Callithrix jacchus: one gene and its partners. The protein of the gene in region 1 interacts with the protein of each later gene in a biochemical or structural test. Links are inferred from orthologs where the notes say so. Each region holds a gene or a part of one and is shown in the gene's direction. Other genes may lie near its edges.

Region 1 (7,574 bases):
GAGGTTGAGGTAAGCCAAGATTGTTCTCCAGCCTGGTGACGGAGTGAGAGTCCATCTCAAAAAAAAAAAAAAAATTCAGGTTTGGGGGCAGGTTTTATGTGTGTGGAGCTTTTGTTTTGTTTTTGTTTTTTTAGACTGTCTTACTATGTCACCCAGGCTGGAGGGCAGTGGCACAGTCGTAACTCACTGCAGGCTTGAAGTCCTGATTCAGCTGATCCTCTCACCTCAGCCTCCCAAGTAGCTGGAACTATAGATGTGCACTACCATGCCAGGCTCATTTTTGTATTTTTTGTAGAGATGGGTTTCATCATGTTTCCCATCCTCTTGCCTCAGCCTCTCAAGTGATTGAGACTACAGATATGCCCCACCACACTGGCTAATGTTTTTTGGTAGAGATGAGGTCTCACTGTGTTGCCCAGGCTGGTGTTGAACTACTGAAACCTCAAGCGATCCTCTCACCTAACTTTCCAAAGTGCTGGGATTACAGGCGTGCGCCACCCCACCCAACTATGTATTATTTTCTCAAAGAGGGTCCTCCAAATCGTAAACTTCAGGCCTGATAAAACCAATATCCACCTCTAGACATGCTTGTCACCATTTTAAAAATAAGGAAACTGAGGCACAGAAAGATAAAGTGATTTTCCCAAGGTCACTCAGCTAAGTGAAGAAGCGGGATTTGGACCCAGCTAGCCTGATTCCAGAGTCTGCTTCAAGGGGACACTGTGAGGATTCAGTGAGATTAAAAGACATGAAAGGTGGTTTATAAATGTAAGGATTGGCCTGGCGCAGTGGCTCACGACTGTAATCCTACCACTTTGGGAGGATGAGGTGGGTGGATTACCTGAGGTCAAGAGTTTGAGACCAGCTTGGCCAACGTGGTAAAACCACGTGTCTCTACTAAAAAATATAAAAATTGGCCAGCCACAGTGGCTCATGCATATAATCTCAGCACTTTGGGAGGCTGAGGCAGGTGGATCACAAGATCAGGAGTTCGAAACCAGCCTAGCCAATATAGTGAAGCCCCGTCTCTACTAAAACTACAAAAAAGATTAGCTGGGCATGGTGGTGCATGCCTATAGTCCCAGCTGCTTGGGAGGCTGAGGTAGGAGAATCGCTTGAAACTGGGAGGCGGAGATTGCAGCGAGTGGAGATTGCAGTGAGCCAAGATCGCACGACTGCACTCCAGCCTTGGTGACAGAGCAAGACTTTGTCTAAAAAAATAAAATAAAATAAATGTAAGGAATAAGACTAATAATTAAATGAAAGAGGTGTGCCTGTTTGACCACTGGTGCTCAGCTCCAAACAGGAAAGGGGCAGAAAAATCCTCCTACCATATGTCAGAAACTACTTGGGATTTAACAGCTAGGACCTCATTTTGTCCCACGGCAGCCCTACAGGCAGGCATTCTTGTCCCATTGAGGCTCCTGTGGCGCAGAGGTTCGAGGATCAGCCCAAGTCACTCAACCGAAAAGTGATGGATCCTGGAGCAGATGCCAGGGCTGGTATCTTTTAGTGGTGATGCCAGAGCCTCTTTCTCCCCATCCAGCACAACAGGCTGCCCAACAGCATGGCAGCAGAAGGCTTGCCACACTGGAACTGGCCAAGGTCCAGGAACATGACACAACCGAGGGCCTCTCCACCCTCTCTCATCCCTTGTGCTCCACCTTCTGAGAAAAATGCCCGGGACAGAGGAGCCATGTGGCAGCAGAGCAACATATCCATCCAGATCACAAGTGGGCAACATCTGCAAAGCAGGCAGCAGCAAGGTGGGGCAGCTAGCCACCAGCTCTGGGAATCTCAGGCTCTGGCTGCGCAATTGGGCCAGTGGGTCCAGGGGAACAAACAAGGACTTTGGAGTCCGGCAAGATCTGGGCTTTGTCTCTTCCTGGTCGGATGACCTTGGGCAAGTCACTTAAACTCTTTTAGTCTCACAAAGTAAGAATCTAGCCTTAGGGGGAAGCTCCCAATATTAGAGTGGGAAGGACTTGACACATAATAGCTGCTCAGTGAATGGCAACCATATATATATATATATATATTTTTTTTTTTTTTTTTTTTTTTTTGAGACAGGGTCTTGCTCTGTCACCCAGGCTAGAGTGCAGTGTCATGATCTCAGTTCACTGCAGCCTCCGCCTCCCGGGTTTGAGTGATTCTTTTGCCTTAGCCTCTGGAGTAGCTGTGACTACAGGCACGAGCCTCCATGCCCAGCTAATTTTTGTATTTTTAGTAGAGACGGGATCCTGCCATGTTGGTCAGGCTGGTCTCAAACTCCTGACCTCAGGTGATCTGCCCACCCCAGCCTCTCAAAGTGCTGGGATTACAGGCATGAGCCACCATGTCCAGCCAGCTACCATCTTTAATTATAATTCTGTAAATTCTTCTCTGCAGATCTGCCCTTTCAGGAGTGGTAGGAATCAGGCCAGGTGCAGTGGCTCACGCCTGTAATCCCAGCACTTTGGGAGGCTGAGGTGGGTGGATCACCTGAGGTCGGAAGCTCCAGACCAGCCTGACCAACATGGAGAAACCCCATCTCTACTAAAAATACAAAAGATCAGCCAGGCGAGGTGGTGCATGCCTGTAATCCCAGCTACTCAGGAGGCTGAGGCAGGAGAATCGCTTGAACCCAGGAGGTGGAGGTTGCGGTGAGCCGAGATCGTGCCATTGCACTCCAGCCTGGGCAACAAGACCGAAACTCCGTCTCAAAAAAATATATAGGAGTGGTAGTAATCAGGTTGGGTATAGGGGTTCCTGCATGGGGCCCAGAACTGGAATCAGAGGAAGGGGGCCTCCTAGACTGGAAAGCGGGCAAAGTCCTCCCAGCCCCTCAGGGTCCTGGCTCCCTTCCCTGCAGCCTGCTCCTGGCCGACAACAGAAGCAGGGCCCCAAGGTTAGGCAAACAAGCTAGTGATAAGGGACTTCCAGGTTGGGCCTTGCATTCAAGGCTCACCCAGCTCTGGGGCTGGCTTCCTGGCTTAGTGAAAGCCCTGATCTTTTGTACACACAGGAGCGGCCACCAATGGGGACACCTGCTGATTGTGCACCTGGGGCCTTGGTGCCCTGGTACAGCCTGGGTTAATGACCTTGTTTATCCACTTGAGTCATCCGATAATCAGCAGCTGAGTGAGCGGCAGGTAGCCCTGTGCCCTGCACCGGCCACTTCATTGACTGAAATGATATCAGCGCCACGTGGGGTTCCCAAACCCCTCCCCCACCACTTCCCCACCAGTCCTGCCAGGGGCAGTGTCTGTGTGTTTTTTTCAATGAACATGACTTCTGGAGTCAAGGTTGTCAGGCCATTCCTCCTTTTCCACTCACTGGGAATATAAATAGCACCTACAGCACAGAACAGAGGATCAGAGAGCTGGAAGTAAGAGCAGATCCCCAACCATGAGCACCAGCCAGCCAGGGGCCTGCCCATGCCAGGGAGCTGCAAGCCGCCCAGCTATTCTCTACACACTTCTGAGCTCCAGCCTCAGGGCTGTCCCCCAGCCCCGTAGTAGCTGCCTGTGTAGGCAGCACCGGCCTGTCCAGCTATGTGCGCCTTATCGCACCTGCCGGGAGGCCTTGGATGTTCTGGCCAAGACAGTGGCCTTCCTCAGGAACCTGCCATCCTTCTGCCAGCTGCCTCCCCAGGACAAGCGGCAGCTGCTGCAGGGTGGCTGGGGCCCCCTCTTTCTGCTTGGGTTGGCCCAAGACGCTGTGACCTTTGAGGTGGCTGAGGCCCCGGTGCCCAGTATACTTAAGAAGATTCTGCTGGAGGATCCCAGCAGCAGTGGGGGCAGTGGCCAGCTGCCGGACAGACCCCAGCCCTCGCTGGCTGCCGTGCAGTGGCTTCAATGCTGTCTGGAATCCTTCTGGAGCCTGGAGCTGAGCCCCAAGGAATATGCCTGCCTAAAAGGGACCATCCTCTTCAACCCTGGTGAGCTCCCAGGCACTTCTGGGGTGGGGGACCAAGGCTGAAGCAGGGGCCAGCCAGGGAAGTAACTTTTAACTTCTAAGGATTTGATATTTGTTATCTCATTGGGTCCTCATTTCCTTCCTTCCTTCCTTCCTTCCTTCCTTCCTTCCTTCCTTCCTTCCTTCCTTCCTTCCTTCCTTCTTTCTTTTTCTGAGACAGAGTCTCACTCTGTTGCCCAGGCTGGAGTGCCGTGGCATGATCTTGGCTCACTGCAACCTCTGCCTCAGCCTCCTGAGTAGCTGGGATTTACAGGCGTCCACCACCATGCCTGGCTAATTTTTGTATTTTTTAGTTGATATGGGGTTTTGACATGTTGCTCAAGCTGGTCTTAAACTCCTGACCCCTCAGGTGATCTACCCGCCTCAGCCTCCCAAAGTGTTGGGATTACAGGTGTGAGCCACCCTACCTGGCTTGGTCCTCATTTTCATCAAATAGCCATCTCACAGAAGAGGCACAGAAAAGCTAAGTGACTAGCTGAAGGTTACACAGCCAGGTAGGGACAGACTAGGATGGCAACTCAGGTCTAGTCACTCCAGAGACTGGCCCTTGTCACTCTGCCTGAGAAACTTGCTCTAACCGTTTTTTGAGACAGAGTCTCACTCTGTTGCTCAGGCTGAAGTGCAGTGGACCAGTCTCAGCTCACCACAATCTCCACCTCCCAGGTTCAAGCAATTCTTCTGCCTCAGCCTCCCAAGTAGCTGGGATTACAGGCGTGCGCCACCAGACCCAGCTAATTTTGTATTTTTAGTAGAGACAGGGTTTCTCTATGTTGATCAGGCTGGTCTCAAACTCCCGACCTCAAGTGATTCGTCCACCTCGGTCTCCCAAAGTGCTGGGATTACAGGCGTGAGCCACCATGCCCAGCCAGAAGTCTGATTCTTAACCATTATTCCATGCTGCCTCTTCATAAATAAATGGATAACTAAAATGAAAATAAATAAATTACCTCCTCCACAGGAGGCAGTAAATCCTGCCCTGACCAGACCAGCCCCACCCCCTTCACCACCACAGTTTGGATTCTTCTCACAGGGGCCAAGTTAATTATTGCTCAAGAAGAGGCCATTCACTTGGGGATAATAGTCTAGGAGTTATCATTCAGGCCATTCTCTAAACCCCCCAGGTTAGAACTATAGCTGATTGGCCTTGTACCCATTATTGTGACCCAGTGCCAGCAGCAAGGGGAACCCTCTCCCTTACCCAGTCTCTCACTCACAAGTCAGACACCAGATAGAGACAGAAACACAGCTGAGACACAAATACAAACCACACAACTCGGACCCCCACCCCCACACACACTAAGATGTACAACTCAGGCACATGTACACGGACCCATGAAACAGACTCTCTATCTTAGAGAAGTCTGAGAGAAAGAAATAGAGAAAGAAATGATAACAAATACTTAGAAAAAGAAATGATAATGATGCTCTCTATAAAAAATACATATATATAAAATTAAAAATAAAATAATAAAAATTAAAAGACTCTCTATCCACCCACTCACAGCCCAGAAAAGCACTGCCTAGATACAGTCACTCAGCAATGTACTGCAGATCCTGACACATTCACACGACAGACCTCAAAGGCCGAGCAGAGGAGGCAGAGGGGTGTCTCTGATGGCTCAGATCTGGGGCCAGTCTTGTCCTTTGGTGGCTGGGAATAGGTTACTCACCAGTCCTCTTCTCCCTCTCTGCCCACAGATTTGCCAGGCCTCCACGCCTCCTCCCACATTGAGCACCTGCAGCAGGAGGCTCACTGGGCGCTATATGATGTCCTGGAGCCCTGGTGCCCAGCAGCCCAAGGCCGTCTGGCCCGTGTCCTCCTCATGGCCTCCACCCTCAAGTCCATTCCAACCAGCCTGCTTGAGGACCTCTTCTTTCGCCCTATCATTGGAGATGTTGACATCGCTGGCCTTCTTGGGGACATGCTTTTGCTGAGGTGACCTGCTCCAGCCCAGGCGGAGATCAGGAGGGCAGAGGCTGGTAGTGCTGATTCAGCCTGGACATCCCCAGAGGTGACCCAGTGCTCCTGGAGGGGGCAAGGCTGTATAGACAGCCAGCCACACCCCACATTGGACTTCCTTCATTTGGACACAGTGCTCCAGCTGCCTGGCAGGCTCTTGGTGGTCCCCACAGCTTCTGGGCCGAGACTCCTGTCCTTTCTTGGGATGGGAATGAAAGCTTAGGCTGCTCATTGGACCAGAAGTCCTACCAACTTTATACAGAACTGAATTAAGTTATTGATTTTTGTAATAAAAAGTATGAAGCACTTGCAGCCTGATACTGTTGTTTGTGCAGACAGAAGGGACTGTCTCACCTCCAGGGCCCACCCTGCCCCTATTAGAGGTAGCCAGTGGAAAAAAATCCACAGGGGTGCTAGAGCTAATCTTGCAGGGTGGTATGGTAATTTCGTTTCTGGAGATGAGATTTATTTGGCATCTGGGTCTGAGTCCGGGGAGCAGTATTCACAATCCCATCACCTCCTTGCCTTTATCCTCAGGAGAAGGTTACTCTCCTGTTCCCAAACCCTTCACTAACCCCTCCCCTGGCTCCCTCTCACCACAGTGAAAGCCCAGTCTCAGCCAATCAGGAAGCAGCCCATTCCCAAATTGAAACAGACAAGGTCACTGCAATTTTTGCAGTTTGAGATCATTCACTTCCCCCATTCCTGCAGATGACAAAAGAAGGTGGTCCATTATTCTCCCAACATGAAAGGACAAGGGTACCAGGGCTGGCCCAGCAACTGCTTGAGGGTCAAGGCAGACCAAGGTTTAGCTGGACCACCAGGGTATGGCTACATCAGTTGTTAAAGTCTGAAACCCTTCCAAGACACTTGGTTCATAGCCACTGCCCTGAGGCCACCCAAGTTTCCTTCCCTTCCCCTCTGCCCCACCCCTCTGGGATCCTCCTCCCAGACATTTCCACTGTCTAGCAATTAGAGAGGCAACTCTTTTTTTTTTTTTTTTTTTTAAGACCAAGTCTTGCTCTGTCGCCCAGGCTAGAGTGCAGTGGCATAATGTCAACTCATTGCAACCTCCACCCACCTGGTTCAAGCAATTCCCCTACCCCAACCTCCGGAGTAGCTGGCACTACAGGGGCACTCTATCACGTCTGGCTAGTTTTTTGTATTTTTAGTAGAGATGGGGTTTCACTGTGTTACCCAGTATGGTCTCGATCTCCTGACCTCATGATCCGCCTGCCTTGGCCTCCCAAAGTGCTGGGATTACAGATGTAAGCCATCACACCGGGCCTAGAGAGGCAACTCTTGGCACAGCCATGACCTCCTTGACTGCTCCATTCAGAGTATGACTTGTGTCTGTTCTGATTGGTCAATGTCTGTGTCTCAATGTTTGTTAAATATTTTGACCCAGTCTCAGGTCAGGGTGAGTAACCTGAAGGGTGGGCAGGAAGGAGTGATAACAACACACATGCCTATAGGATTTTCCGGCCTCCTCCTTTCACCGGCAGTAAGTCCTGCCCTGACCAGTCCCACCTGCTTCACCACCACAGTTTGGATTCTTCTTACAGGGGCCAAGTTAATTATTGCTCAAGAAGAGGCCATTCACTTGGGGATAACAGTCTAGGAGTCATCATTCTGGCCTTTCTCTAAGTCCCCCAGG
Region 2 (7,584 bases), on another chromosome or scaffold:
GGGCCAAGGCTGTGGCATGGTGTTGATTCTAGACCTTATTTGATTGATTCTAAGACATCTTCTATAGAAAAATGCATTGTTATTTTTGTTAACAATGAAATTCTGACATGCCATTGATCACATACCCCCACTTTTTTTGTTGTTGTTGAGACAAAGTTTCGCTCTTGTTGCCCATGCTGGAGTGCAATGGCTCTATCTCGGCTCGCCGCAACCTCCGCCTCCCAGGTTCAAGTGATTCTCTTGCCTCAGCCTCCTGAGTCACTGGGATTATAGGCATGGGTCACCACGCCTAATTTTGTATTTTTAGTAGAGATGGGGTTTCTCCATGTTGGTCAGACTGGTTTCAAACTCCTGACCTCAGGTGATCTGCCTGCCTCGGCCTCCCAAACTGCTGAGATTACAGGCATGAGCCACCACACCCAGCCTCACATTTCTCTTTAAGCAATGTGGAAGTGTGCCTCAGAGTGGATGAGGCCATGTATTACTGGGTTGTGTGGGCAGTAGCTCTGCCTGTGGCCTGCCATAGGTGCCAGGCAGGTGGCAGGGACCTGGGCTGGGCTCCTGGAGGCTCCTCCCGGAGCTGCCCTCCACTTCTCTTCTGTGTTGATCCCTTAGTCAGATCTTCCCTTTCTGCCCACTGCTGCACTTCCCCCAAGGCCGGTGGAGCCAGATCAGATATTCCTGAGGTAGGCATGGGAGAAACCCACCAGCATTTGGTCTCTTTCAGCCCCTTATAAAATCTCAAAGTGTGGGTTGTTGGGGCTCCTCTTGCTCCCTCCCTCAAAGCCTTCTCCTGGCCAGTAGAAAACTAAGCCAGGGTCATCTTTCCATTTTACAGAGGGAGAAATTGAGGCCCTGAGAAGAGATAGATGTAAATAAATCTATTGGAATAGTGACTGAGCTAGTTCCTAAACCCAGGTCTCCTGGCACCAAATCTAGCCTCTCTTCTCCTCCAGAACAGTTGCTCCCTCTCCCCTTTCCCTGTAGGAAACAGCACACAGCCCCCTACATCATTTCAGCTTCAGAGGTCAAATCAAGTGGGGAGAATAAAGCCAAGCAGGGCAGAGAAAGGGCTTCCAGCAGTGGGAAGAATGGAGAGGATGCCTCCTCATACCTGTCAAACACACATGCCCTGACTCCCGATTTGCTAACTGATTAATTCACCCATACATTCAATCATTCATTCACTCACTAATTCACCCACTCATTAATTCACCTACCCATTTGCTCATTCACTCATTCATTCACCCACCGATTCACTCATTCACATACTCAGTAATTTACTCTCATTCATTCATTCACTCACTCAATTCATGTATTCACTCAACTTACTCATTAATTCACCTTGTCTCGAATTCACTCGCTTCTAATTCATCCACTCATTAATTTCCCAACCCCCCACTCACTCATTAACTGGTGCTCTCACTCATTCACTCACTCTTGCTCACAGGTGTCACCGAGTCCCTCCAACCTGCCCTTGCAGCCAGTAGCAGAGGACAGGCTCCCAGGTCTCAGGCATTCCTTCCTCTGCCCTCTACATCGAGACTTTACTTCCAGGTAGATTAGCAGCTCTTGAAAGTGTCTGCACAGAATGCAATGAGGGCTGGAGGAATGAGAAGAACAGAGTGTACCATGAGCTTCGACAGGCAGGACCAGCTGTGTAATTTGCAGGACCTCGTCCAAAACAAAAATCAAACCCCTTGTTCAAAAGTGATGATGAATTTTCAGACAACCACAGCAGAGCACCAAACCCGGCACCAGGACTCTCTAAGGGTTGGGCTGCCTGTGACTGCTCTGGCGATCCCCCCACAAAGCCCACTTTGAAGATAGGAGGCAGGTGGAGAGAAACAGAGGGATGGAAAGGGGGATACAGAACAGGGAGAGGGAGGAGGAAGAGGATGGATGTCTGCCAGGTCCCACTTGGTGTTTTTTATGCCGTCTCATTTCTTTCTCAAACCACTCTTTGAGGTTGATTGTACATTTTACAGAGAAGGAAACTGAGGCTCAGAGAGGAGAATCATTTACCCAAGGTCCCACTTAGCAGATGGTAGATGCCTGAATGTAAATCCAGGTCTCTCTCTGCTCTGGGAGGGGGTGAGAGTGAGGGAAACAGGAGAACATGAAGGGAAAATCTGAGATGGAGTCTGTCTGGGCCAGAAACTCCAGGAGCTGTGGGAGATGGTGGGGCACAGGGTGGGGTCCTAGGGAGCAGGATTGGGGAATTGGAGGTGAGTCTGGCCCTCCCAGCCTTCCAGTCCATTCTGCTCCCAGGAAACTGCAGGGGAACTGAAGGGAGCTCCCAGAACAAGGATCCAGAAGATTGACATCTGAGGCCTGGGATTTAGGTTTCTAAATCATGGGCCATGGGGCAGCCTTATCTCTACAAGAGCATTGAGGGTAGAAGTCAATGATTTGGGAAGTTATTGAATGAGGGGATCTCGGAGGGAGGCTGTCAGTGCCTGATAGTATCAGTTAGAATGTCCGACTTAGGATGACAATGGCTTGGAGGGGCGGCTGAGTCAAGGGTCAAATGAGTGACCGTGAGTTACGATGCCTGCCTTGTACAATTGATAACTGAGTATCGGTGAGTTAGGGCCCCAACAGTTGTAATTAGCACTCCGGGTGTCAGCCAGAAACCAACAAACAGCCAAATCCCTGCAGCCCCGCCCAGCCTATTTACCGGCGGGGGACCGATTAACCATTAACCCCCACCCCTCCCTGGCAGAGCCTCCACCCCTCCGCAGAGGCTAGGCCTAGACTCCCAGCAGATCTTCCCAGAGGACGGTTTGAAAGAAAGGCAGAGAGGGCACTGGGAGGAGGCAGTGGGAGGGCGGAGGGCGGGGGCTGGGGCTCAGCCTTCGGGGTGGGCGCCCAGGGCAGGGCAGGTGGCTGTGGCGTGGAGGCAGGGGAGAATGCGCCTCTCCAAAACCCTCGTCGACATGGACATGGCCGACTACAGTGCTGCACTGGACCCAGCCTACACAACCCTGGAATTTGAGAATGTGCAGGTGTTGACGATGGGCAATGGTAGGTGGGGGCAGGTGTGCCCAGGTGTGCCAGTGGGGCAGGTATGCCTGGGTACAGGAGCGAATCTTTGGTACTCAACTTTGGGGTGGGAGGAGAATGATAGAAAATAGTAGGTTGGTCCTACAGGCTAGCACAGGTATTGCCAGGTGAAGCCGGTGTGCCCAGGTACAGTGATCACAGGCATTCCGGGTGAAGGGAGGCCTGCAAGGGCCAATTTCCAGCAGAAGTCAACCCCAGCTGTTCCTCCCAGGCCCTTCCGGTCCCCACTGTCTTGCAGCGGCTCTGCTTGGAGTTTGGCACACTGACGTGATGGTGAGGTCCCTTTCGGTGCCCAGCTCCAGCAATTCAGCCTGGCACAGCCCCTTCTTGAACCCCTCAGGCCTAGGTTCAGAGAGATGGCAAGGGGCATTGTGTCCCTGGAGGATGGTGGTTGGAGACATATATCTGCATTTCTCGGTGTCTTTGGGACTTCCCTAGGGGAATTGGCACTTAGGGAAAATGGGGTTCTCAGGGAAGTTTTGCTAACTAAAATCCAGCTCAGCACTGTGTGTGTTGTGTTGTGTGTGTGTTCGTGTGTGATCATGAGTTTCCGTGTAAGTTGTATGGGTGGGGTGATGCCTCCAGGAACACATTTGCATATGTGTGTTCATTTGTCTCTGTGTGTGAGTTCTGTGCCTATTTCCCTTTGTATTTATTGAGTGGGTCTGTGTTTGTGTCTCTAGGAGGTGCCCGTGTCGATCTTGCTTGTGCATGTAAGTGACTGGGTGTACGTGTGTCTGTGGATGTTTGTATATGTGTGCTGTGTGGGGGTCATACAGGACATGTGTTTGTGCATGCAGACCTGTTGGAGTGCTGTTCTTCCTGCATGCTTATCCTGTGTGGGCGTTTTGTCGTGTGCCCATATTTGTACCTGCTGTGTGCATATGCAGCCCCCTGTACCTCAGGTGAGGTCAGCGGTCTCTAGTGTGCATGAATGCCAGACCCAAGTGCAGGATTCTGTTGTTGCCGTTCACCAAGTGAGCTTCACATCAGCAACGTGTCTGTTAATCTCTGAGCAGATTTTGTTGCCGGCGTGTCTCTCCAGATTCATGTTTCCACTCTGACATCACTGGAGCATATCTGGAGGGATGGGCCGTTCTCCTCCACAGGGAGGTAGGGGAAAGGAGGGTGTCTGGAAACCCCTCCTGGAGGGAAGGGCCCCATCAGGTCCCAGGCCAGCCTCAGAGGAGAGGGGGCAGGCAGCTAGCTGAGGTCAGCCTGCCACCCCTCTTCCTTCTGTGTCTTGGAGCCACACAGCCAGTATCAGCCTGCAGTTCCCGCTGAGGCCTGGAAGCTTGTGGTCAGCTTTGCTAGAGTGAGGAGGCAGCTGCTGGGCACTGCCTGTGGTCAGCTCAGCAAGTGTTCGACTGCCCCTGCAGTCCAGTTACTGTGTGACCTTGGGCATGTCACCTCCCCTCTCCTGGCTTCTGTATCTTCTACAAAACAGGCTTCATTCCCCCAGGCCTGGTGGCTGGCCAGTTGTTTAGCCCTGTCTGAGGACCACTCGAGGAGCTCAAGGCGAAAATGCCCTGGAGATGCTAAACAAGTTGCTGCCACACGAGGCAGAGTGCAGTGTGTCCCCAGGAGGGTCACTGCCCTACCCTGGCTGCTCCCCGCCCCCATCACTTTTTCAAAGCCTGGGAACTGTGTGCTCCTGAGGCAGAGGCCAAGCCCCTGAACTGGGTGCCCCAAAGACAAGACCACCTCCAGCTCTGGAACCAGAAAGATCTGGACTCAAATCAGGCATGGATCCTTCCAACCTGTGTGAACGTGGCAAGGCAGTTTCCTCTCTGAGTCTCAGTTTCCTCATCTATAAGATGGGAAGCCGTAATAGTGTCTGTCTGCCAGGGCTGGCCAGAGGATAAAGATAAGGTGCCTGGGTGCTGACCCTGGTAAAGGGTCCTGGCCCCAACATGGGTCATCTCAAGGGCTCTGAGCATCTTAAGCAGGGTCCCCAGTATTCCTTGCTGGAGTTTGAAGTGTTCTGAATTGGGGTTATGTGACGTTGTCCTCCAAAGTGTTTTGGGTACATCCTGGGCTAGTAGTTCAAATGTTCAAAGGATATTTCTCCCCATCCACTCCCTACCCCAATGCAGCAGCAGCCCCGGGGCTCCTTGTTCATTAGAGGCCCCAGCAGACACCTCAACACATGTGGCTCTGGCTGGAGTAGCCCAGCACACCTGGACCATAAGCCCATGCCTCGGCTTCACTGCAAGCAGTGTGACACCAGGAAGCCACTTGTCCTCTCTAAGTCTCAGTGTCCTCATCTGTGGAATGGAGGTGCTCGGCTGACCTCAGAGGGGAGTTGATAGAGCTGACAGCCCCCAGCCCATTCTGTCCCTGAGGTGGGCGCTCCTTCCCCAGCCTCCTGCTGAACAGCCAGGAGCTGTGGGGTCAGCTCTCCCTGGGGTCGGGGGAGGAGAGGCTGAGGGAGAAAGGGCACCCATGCGGCTTAACAATTATCGCCATCTCCAGGAATAATTCACCAAGTGGAGGGGGGCCGCACTCCTGGGGACACCCGGGAGTCTGCGATGGCAGAAATGAGACGCACCAGTGCCTGCTTGTGCACGGAGCCTGGAAGTCCTCTGCTCTGAGAGTTTTCTTCTGCAGAAAAGTTTTTATTTCACAAACACTAATATAGTGCTTACCATGTGGTAAGCACTTCACATACACATATGAGAATTCACCAAATCCCCATAACAAACCTGGGAGAATGTCATGTTTCCCATTTTACAAGTGAGGATACAAAGGCATAGAGAAGTAAATGAACACAGCCAACGTCACATGGCTAAAAAGTGGGCAGGCTGGGATTGAACCCTGGGCAGAAGGCCTTCAGGGGCTATGCTGTTACCTACAGCGCGTGGCCCTCTCCAGGTCTTAACTGGATGACCCTGAGGAATACAAGGTCCGATTTAGGATTTCTATGAATACACGTGTGTGTGTGTGTGTGTGTGTGTGCATGTGTGTATGTGTCTGTGCATAGGTGTGCATGTGCGTATATGTGTGTGGAGTATGTGCATGTATGTATATGTGTGTACATGTGTTGATATGTGTATGTTGTATGTTCATGTGTGTGCTGTGTGTGCATGTGTAGACTGTGTCTGTGTGCACGTGTGTACATGTGTGTGAATGTGTATGTTCATGTGTGTGTGGACTGTATGGGTGTGTGCATGTGTATGGTTGTGTGTGGACTCTGTGGTGTGTGTGTGGTATGTGGTGTGTGTCTTCATGTGTGTGAACTGTGGTATATGTACCTGTGTGTGTGTGCGCATATGTGCACCTGTGTGTGTGCATGTGCATGTGGACTCTATGGTGTGTGGTTGTGTGTGGACTGTGTAGTGTATGTGGACTGTGGTGTATGTTCGTGTGCGTGTGTGTATGTGACTGTGGTGTGTGTCTGTGAGCATATGTGTGGATTGTGTGGTGCATGTGTGTGTGGACTGTGTGATGTATGTGGACTGTGGTATGTGTTTGTGTGTGTGCACGTGTATGTGACTGTGTGGTGTGTGTGTGTGTGTGCATGTGTATGTGACTGTGTGGTGTGTGTGTGTGTGCATATGTGTGGACTGTGGTGTGTGTGTGTGGACTGTGGTGTATGTGGACTGTAGTGTTTGTGTGCGTGCATGTGTATGTGACTGTGGCGTGTGTCTGTGTGCATGTGTGTGGACTGTATGGTGTGTGTGTGTTTGTGTGTGGCATGTGTGTATGTGGCGTGTGTGTGGACTGTGGTGTGTGTTCGTGTGTGTACGTGCATGTGTATGTGAGTGTGTGGTGTGTGTCTGTGTGCATGTGTGTGGACTGTATGGTGTGTGTGTGTGCTTGTGTGTGGCATGTGTGGCACACACACTTGCATTTTCCCAGGGGCTGACCCATTGCATTTGTTATCTTCTCCAAAGGGGTCTATCTTTGGTGAAAGATTTGCTGACAAAACGGGGGTTCAGCTGCTATTTTTTTAATTTTGGAAACAGACCAGTCAAACTGCTCCCTTTTATGGTTAGAGAAACTGAGGCCTAGAAGAAATTGAAGCAAGGAGAAGTTGCCCAAGTTTACAGGCAAGTTAGTGGCAGCATCAGCACTAGTGCCCAGGAGTCCTGGAACCCAGCCCGAGATCCTCTTTGCCACCTGCCTCTATGGCCCCCCTCACATTTGTGTAGATGCAGTAGCTTTTACCTGGGAGATGAGAGGGACGGGAGCCATGTCCAGACCCTCCCAGGAGGCCACATGAGTGACTGTTCTTGGCCCAAGTCTTTCCTGTTCCCCAGAGAATTTGCGGGGCCCCTGGGCACGCAGCTGAGATCCACCCAGCCTTAGTGGTCACTGGGTGAGAACTGAGGGACAGGACCTGGTTCTGGGGAGAATGTTTCTCCCTTCCGCAGCCCCCTCCCCAGTTAGGAGCAGGCTCTCACCCTGGAAGGTGGCCAGATTTTCATGCCTGCCTAGAGACAGCTGGGGCTCGTGGCCTCCACCACAGGGAGATGCACACCCTCAGAATCAGCTCTGTGAAGTCACCACCAGCCC
Region 3 (6,853 bases), on another chromosome or scaffold:
TTTATCTTTTGGCTAGCACCACAACTCGATGAATTGATGAAATATTACAGGATAAGGCACAATTGTTAGAGAGGATTAATGAGTCACCATGGTGTGCAATCCAGGTTGATGAGTCTACCAATGCCGACAACAAAGCAACATGCTTTTTTGTGTGTGATGTATTTTTCAAGAGGATGTGAATGAGGATATATTATACGCACTTTTGTTGCCAACCGGTACCACGGCTGCAGAACTATTCAAGTCTTTGAATGATTACGTATCATGAAATGGAATCAGTCATTTTGTGTTGGTATATGCACAGGTAGAGCAGCTGCCATGACTGGACGGCATTCTGGTTTCACTACTCATGTCAAAGAGGCCGCTTCTGAATGTGAGTCTATGCATTGTATTCCATGGAGAAATGCTGGCTAGCCGGAAAATGTCACCCGAACTTAACAAAGTTTTGCAGTATGTGATTAAAATTATCAACTACATTATACATGCCCTTAACTCAATCTGTTTGCGCAGCTCTGTGAGGAGATGCACGCCGAGCACATGCATCTTCTCTTATACACAGAAGTGACATGGCTTTCTAAATGTACATCACTGACTGGAGTTTTTGAGTTAAGAGAGCTGCTTCAGAGCCTTCTTTTGAGAAAAACAGTCCCACTAGCAGCACATTTCATGACATCAAATGGGTCACAAAACTTGCTTACTTGTATGGCATCGTCAACCTGCTCAATGAACTCTGTCACTTCAGGAAAGAATGACAACTGTGTTCAAGTTGGCAGATAAAATGGCTGCATTTGAAGCCAAACTGGAAACACGGAGGTGACAAATGAACACTGGGATTTCTGCCATCTCAAACATTAGCAGATTTTGAAAGAGACTGAGCCAGGACCTTCTTCTCCCAGCTGGTGCATGATTACCTATCTCAGCTTTCAAAAGAGTTTGAACATTACTTCCTGTATTAGTCAGGGTTCTTTAAGGGGACAGAACTAATAGAATAGATATATACATGTATATAAAGAAGAGTTTATTAAGTATTAGCTTACACTATCATAAGGTCCCACAATAGGGACTGCAGGCTGAGGAGTGAGGAGAGCCAGTCTGAGTTCCAAAACTAAAGAACTTGGAGTCTGAGGTTCGAGGGCAGGAAGCATCCAGCATGGGAGAAAGATGTAGGCTGGGAGGCTAGGCCAGTCTCTCTTTTCACATTTTTCTGGCTGCTTATATTCTAACCAAGCTGATTAGATTGTGCCCACCCAGCTTAAGGGTGGGTCCGCATTTCCCAGCCCACTGACTCAAATGTTTACCCTCCTTTGGAAACACCCTCACAGACACACCAAGGATCAATACCTAGTATCCTTCAATCCAATCAAGTTGAATTTCAGTATTAACCATCACACTTCCCATTCACAAAAGACAGAATGGATCTGTGACCCTTTTGCGAATAATCCAGGTGAATCCACTTTGTCATGCTAGAAGAGGATCAACTGCTTGATATTGAAAATGACAGAGGCCTTAAAAGTATGTTTGAGACTTCAAATCTCTATACGTTCGATTTTTTTTTTTTCTTTTTGGTATCAGGATGACGCTGGCCTCATTCTATATGTTCTCATTTAAGTCAAGGAGGAATATCCTGAGATTGCCACAAAATTACTGAAAAGCCTGCTTCCATTTCCAACATTCTATCTTTGTGAGGCAGGGTTTTCTGCAGTAGCAGCAACCAAAACGAGATTACAGAATAGACTGGACATAAGCAACACACCTCGGGTGTCACTGTGTCTCATCACTCTCAGATGGGACTGTCCAGTTGCAGGAAAAGAAGCTCAGGGCTCGCACTGATTCTACATTATGGGGAGTTGTATAATTATTTCATTATATACTCCAATGTAATAATAATAGAAATAAAGAGAATAAACGAAATGTGCTTGAATCATGTTAGTATACATAGTCCTATAATTCATAGAGGTATACACAAAAGATTCAGCTTTTAAGTTGAAGATAGGTAAGACATGTTTTTAAAAAACACACAAAATAGTATTTTTTTCTATGAATACATAAAGATACATGTAAACGCAAATAAAAAGAATTTAAAGAATACACACCGCATTGATAATAGCGGAAAGATACCTTTCAGGAGAAAAGAAATGGAACCAAATATTTCTTCAGGCTAACTTAAAAAAAAAGTACAACGTTTCTGTTGTTTGTGAATACAACTATTGTAATGACAACACTAAAACGGCAGAATGAATTAGTTCTTAATATGCTGATCTGTGGTTATGGATGTTGTCTGATTTGGAGATGTAGATTTAGAAGTCATCAGCACATAGATAAACTGCCCAAAGGAGGAGGAAGAAAGGAGGGGAGAAGCATCAGGTGTTAAAAAAGCCACGTTAGGTTATTTAACAGTTTGCAGCATCACGAGCAGCAGGATGGTTAAGTAACACAGAAACTGTAATGCTTTTGCAAGCAGGATCCCTAGTTACGAAGCTCTAATAGGTGGAAACCCAGCTCAAAAGCGACGCTAACACCCGGGGAAAAACATTGACTGCCTCCAATCGCAGTGGAGCGCCAAGTAGGAGGCGGTACCTGACGACTACGCCTGCGCGAGTGGTTACGCAAGCTCACAGACTTTGCGCACGCGCACAGGCGCACGACCGCGCAGTTTCTATCTTGCTGAAAGCTTTTTCCGAGAGGTTGAGCGGTTTGCACAATGTCGGAAATGGCCGAGCTGTCTGAGCTGTATGAGGAGAACAGTGACCTGCAGATGGATGTGATGCCTGGCGAGGGTGACCTTCCGCAGATGGAGGTAGGCAGCGGGAGCCGGGAGCTATCCTTGCGTCCCTCCCGCAACCGGGCCCCGCCACAGCTAGAGGAGGAAGGCCCAATGGAGGAGGAGGCGGCCCAGCCAATGGCGGCGCCAGAGGGGAAGCGGAGCCTTGCTAACGGGCCCAACGCTGGGGAGCAGCCAGGCCAGGTGGCGGGCGCAGACTTCGAGAGCGAAGACGAGGGCGAGGAATTTGATGACTGGGAGGACGACTACGACTATCCGGAAGAGGAGCAGCTTAGTGGTGCCGGCTACCGAGTATCAGCAGCTCTCGAAGAAGCCAACAAGATGTTTCTGAGAACAACCAGAGCAAGAGAAGCAGCCCTGGATGGCGGGTTTCAGATGCATTATGAGAAGACCCCGTTTGATCAGTTAGCTTTCATCGAAGAGCTTTTTTCACTGATGGTTGTCAATCGTCTGACCGAAGAACTCGGCTGTGATGAGATTATTGATAGAGAGTAGTTACATGCTGTTAAAAGAGGAGGAAACTACTTGAGGAGGGACCCAACTTTCCGGTATCTTTTGGGTTCATTCCAAATAGTTCTGTGCCATTGAAAAACTTGACCTTCAAAAAAATGTGTTTTTCAGAATAGAAGACAATAGGATAGTGACTGTACAGTTGTGAAAAAAGAAGAGAATCATTAAAGAAAAAATGATGTTTAGACTGTTGAAGTCTGTTCTCAAGAATGTCCTAAAACACCAATGGCTTTGACTTTGTTATTGATCCAGATTATTTTCCTTGCATTGGGGAAAATATCTTTCATATTTGTTTTGCTGTAAAGATGGTTTTGCAAGAATAAGTCATGACCAAGACAAACCAAGACAAGAGCCCACTGATACTGATTATATGAGAAAAAAATGTATCCAACTAGGACACATATCTTTTGAGTTATTTGGACTGAAAGCTTAAGAAAACTTGGAAAATTCTATTTTGTGATCTGTTCAAGCCATAGTTATCAAAGGCTAAATTTTCAGTGTAAGATAAATGGAGTAGTCTTCATTATCCCAAAAGGATGAGCAAACTCAAATATATATCACGTGCTATATGTCTTAAGATGTGTTTCCAAAAGCATTTGAAATTTTGTTTGTACACGTATCTTGATCATTTATAAAGCCACTGTGATCTATAAATCAAGAAAATCCATTGTCAAGACCATTTTTAAAAGTCAAAAATTAAGACATCCTTAATTTAAAAGTTTCAAATCTAGACATTGTGTGTGAATGTACAAAGAAAAACCATTTCTAACGCTGTTATATACTAGAGAAATTTTGTTTTGCTTGCTGTTTTGACTTGACGGGTGAAAGACTTTAGTTGAACTTCATATTGTAAGAACTGTTAATAAAAGTTGTCAAGTAAAAAGCCCTATATCTAAAAAGACTTTATGAACAGTTATTCTATCAACTCTTAAAGGTTTTAAACCTGCCCAAAAATTACCTTGTAATCTGAAGTTTCCCTCCCTCTGTCTCCTCCTCTTAAGCTTGTTATTTGTTATGCACCAGCATTGGAGATAATAAAATTTCTTGTTCTGTGTATTTTGTTTGGTTGATCGTATTGCATACATACTTTCTCTGTATACTACTTTTTATTGTATGTATTATTGCAACCACTTGATTTAAACTTAATTAGTATTAAGGGAAAATGATCCAGCTTAAGATATCTAATTCACAAATTTGTTTCTGGAAATTAAATTTTGTAAATTAAGTTTTTACCTATAAGAATTTGCTGGTCTAGGAAAACCTGCCCTGTCAATGAGTATGTTGCTGTGGTTATCTTACTAAGATGCTGAAGTTTTAGGAGTGTAATTACATCAGAAGGCTATGCTCAGCAAAATGAGTTTATCAGCAGGTTTTATGATCAGTAAAAAGATTCCAGATGCTTCTGCTCCATTGTAGCAGTAAAGAACATATATCCAATGCAACAGGACCACTCAGAGCCTAATTTATTTTACGGTCATCTGTCTTTTGGGGAGAGGGATCTGTAAAAGATAGGAGTGTGACAAGGATGATCAAAATTGCTCAGACATTAGCTGAGTTGGGAGGGAGAGATGGTGGAAGTAAAATGTTGGTGCTTAAATTTCTTAATCCTACGATCTCTTCCACTGCTTTCTCAGCCTGTAGCAGCAGTCAGATGAGTGTAGCCAGATAATTAATTGCATGCATGATGTAAATTATCATGGGTGGGGGTATGCTAGTGCACAATAAAGTGGCTGCTTGTATTTACCTCCAGATCTTTTTCTTTACCAGGAAAATTTACCTTTACTAGGAAAGATAAACTCTTGAAAAAAAATCTGAGGTCTACTAACTAGAAGGTTGTGATTCTGTTTGTCTCTGGAACTGAGTAGGGCGCAAGAGGTGGGGTAGGAAACTCCCTGTTGCATCCGAAGGCTAATGTTGGGGAGAAAAACCTGGGCTCTGCAATTGACTCAGTTGTTTTTCTCTCTTAAAAATAGGCAGTAACCTGAGAGACAATGAAAATTGTAAGTACTTACTTGTATTTATAGAGAATAAAAAAGAGAGAGAGAGAGGGAGGGAGGAGTGTGTGAGTCATCTAAGGGAACTAGAGAAAGGAGTTCTGCAGAAATTCGAACTGGTTTTGCAATATAGGGAATTTAAAGAAGCTTTTGAGTATGCAGTGTGATTAGGGAGTTTTCCAAATTTATCCATATGTATTATAAATGTTCAGTTAAATCAGATATCCCATGTTGGCTGTCTTCAGGCCACAGATCTATTTTGATTGGTTCATGCTTATAATTTTAAGAGACCGCCATCTCAGTACAGAGATACCAGCTAAAAATCTGGATTTTTACCATTTTATTTTGAGATGGAGTCTTGCTTTGTTGCCCAGGCTGGAGTGCAGTAGCTCAATCTCAGCTTATTGCAACCGCCACCTCCCAGGTTCAAGCAATTCTGCTCAGCCTCCTGAGTAGCTGGGATTACAGGCTAGAGCCACCACACCTGGCCTCTTACTAGTTTTTAAAGTAAAGCATCTGGGAGCCTTTGACCACTAGACCTACATAGCAAAAAAAAAAAAAATCTGATTCACCTTTAGACAAGGAAGGTATTCTGTTTGCCAAGTCCCCTGGTGTTGTCTCCCCAACATAGAGGCCAGGTAGCATTTTGACATCTATCATTGGGCCTGCATCATCGTTTCTTTTTTTGTGCTTGCACAGTTTGCATTACCTACCTGGCTTCTAAATATTTGAACTTGCCTCTCCTTACAGAGACTAAAGGATGTCTCAATTTTCTGCCTGTTTTACCTTAACTCTATTACCCTTCTGAATTCAGTACCTGTTAGAGTTGTAGAAATGAGTAAAGAATTATTGAGAGTTTGAGCTGCTGAGACTCTGATATTTTTGCTTGAGACCCTAAAATACAATATTAAAGTATGTCAGTAAAGTATGTTGCTTGAATTTTAAAACAAGGAAATGCATAAAACCCTTGCAAAATTGTAATTTCCCATCCTGAAATATGGTAATGTTTTAAAATTGTAAGCATTGCATGTTTAGTATTTTCTGCCTCTGGAGGTTTATAAAATAGTTTCTGGGAGTGAATGGTTATATTCTTGATGTTCTTAGTGACCAAAGATAAGTGTGAACTATCTGATCCATAAATGCTGTCATCTATGAATATATCCATAAACTTGAACCTGTTTGTTTTCAGTCCAAAGTATATCTTAGAAGTTAAGTGGGGGTGGGGAAGGCATTAGTATTTCTTTGTATTTATTTTAGAACTTCCAGGGGTAGCATTAAGGATTTAATCCTTTTCTTGTGCTGTATCCACAAGGTCTCTCATCTTTGCTGCCTTCATTTCTTAAACATTTTAATTGCCTTTCTCATGAGACATAAAGCTTCTTGAGTTGAGGCCTCTACAGTGGCACATCTTTTCCCCATACCCCCCAGCTATTTCTCCTAGGCCTGCAGAAAAGCTCAAAATAGCTATTCAAAATCACCCCTCAGGTCTGAGATAAATGAGATCTTAACTTTGGTCCCTATTCCAGCAGTGGGCTGAATACAACCCCATTCCATGCCACCAGTGCAGAAA

The links. The genes of interacting proteins can lie anywhere in the genome.
Region 2: the proteins of NR0B2 (region 1) and HNF4A form a complex in vitro, tested with the Homo sapiens proteins (4 studies listed by BioGRID). The link is inferred for Callithrix jacchus from reciprocal best matches to the Homo sapiens genes NR0B2 and HNF4A.
Region 3: the proteins of NR0B2 (region 1) and EID1 form a complex in vitro, tested with the Homo sapiens proteins (3 studies listed by BioGRID). The link is inferred for Callithrix jacchus from reciprocal best matches to the Homo sapiens genes NR0B2 and EID1.

The regions. Positions count from the first base shown.
Region 1 is NC_133508.1:63,563,725-63,571,298, reverse strand, and holds NR0B2 (nuclear receptor subfamily 0 group B member 2), read left to right. Parts: upstream 1-3,350; 5' UTR 3,351-3,387; coding exon 3,388-3,919; intron 3,920-5,655; coding exon 5,656-5,897; 3' UTR 5,898-6,223; downstream 6,224-7,574. UniProt on the Homo sapiens protein: Transcriptional regulator that acts as a negative regulator of receptor-dependent signaling pathways. Specifically inhibits transactivation of the nuclear receptor with which it interacts.
Region 2 is NC_133506.1:39,747,477-39,755,060, forward strand, and holds the start of HNF4A (hepatocyte nuclear factor 4-alpha), read left to right. Parts: upstream 1-2,776; 5' UTR 2,777-2,912; coding exon 2,913-3,027; intron 3,028-7,584. UniProt on the Homo sapiens protein: Transcriptional regulator which controls the expression of hepatic genes during the transition of endodermal cells to hepatic progenitor cells, facilitating the recruitment of RNA pol II to the promoters of target genes. Activates the transcription of CYP2C38.
Region 3 is NC_133509.1:36,623,664-36,630,516, forward strand, and holds EID1 (EP300-interacting inhibitor of differentiation 1), read left to right. Parts: upstream 1-2,613; 5' UTR 2,614-2,698; coding exon 2,699-3,274; 3' UTR 3,275-4,345; downstream 4,346-6,853. UniProt on the Homo sapiens protein: Interacts with RB1 and EP300 and acts as a repressor of MYOD1 transactivation. Inhibits EP300 and CBP histone acetyltransferase activity.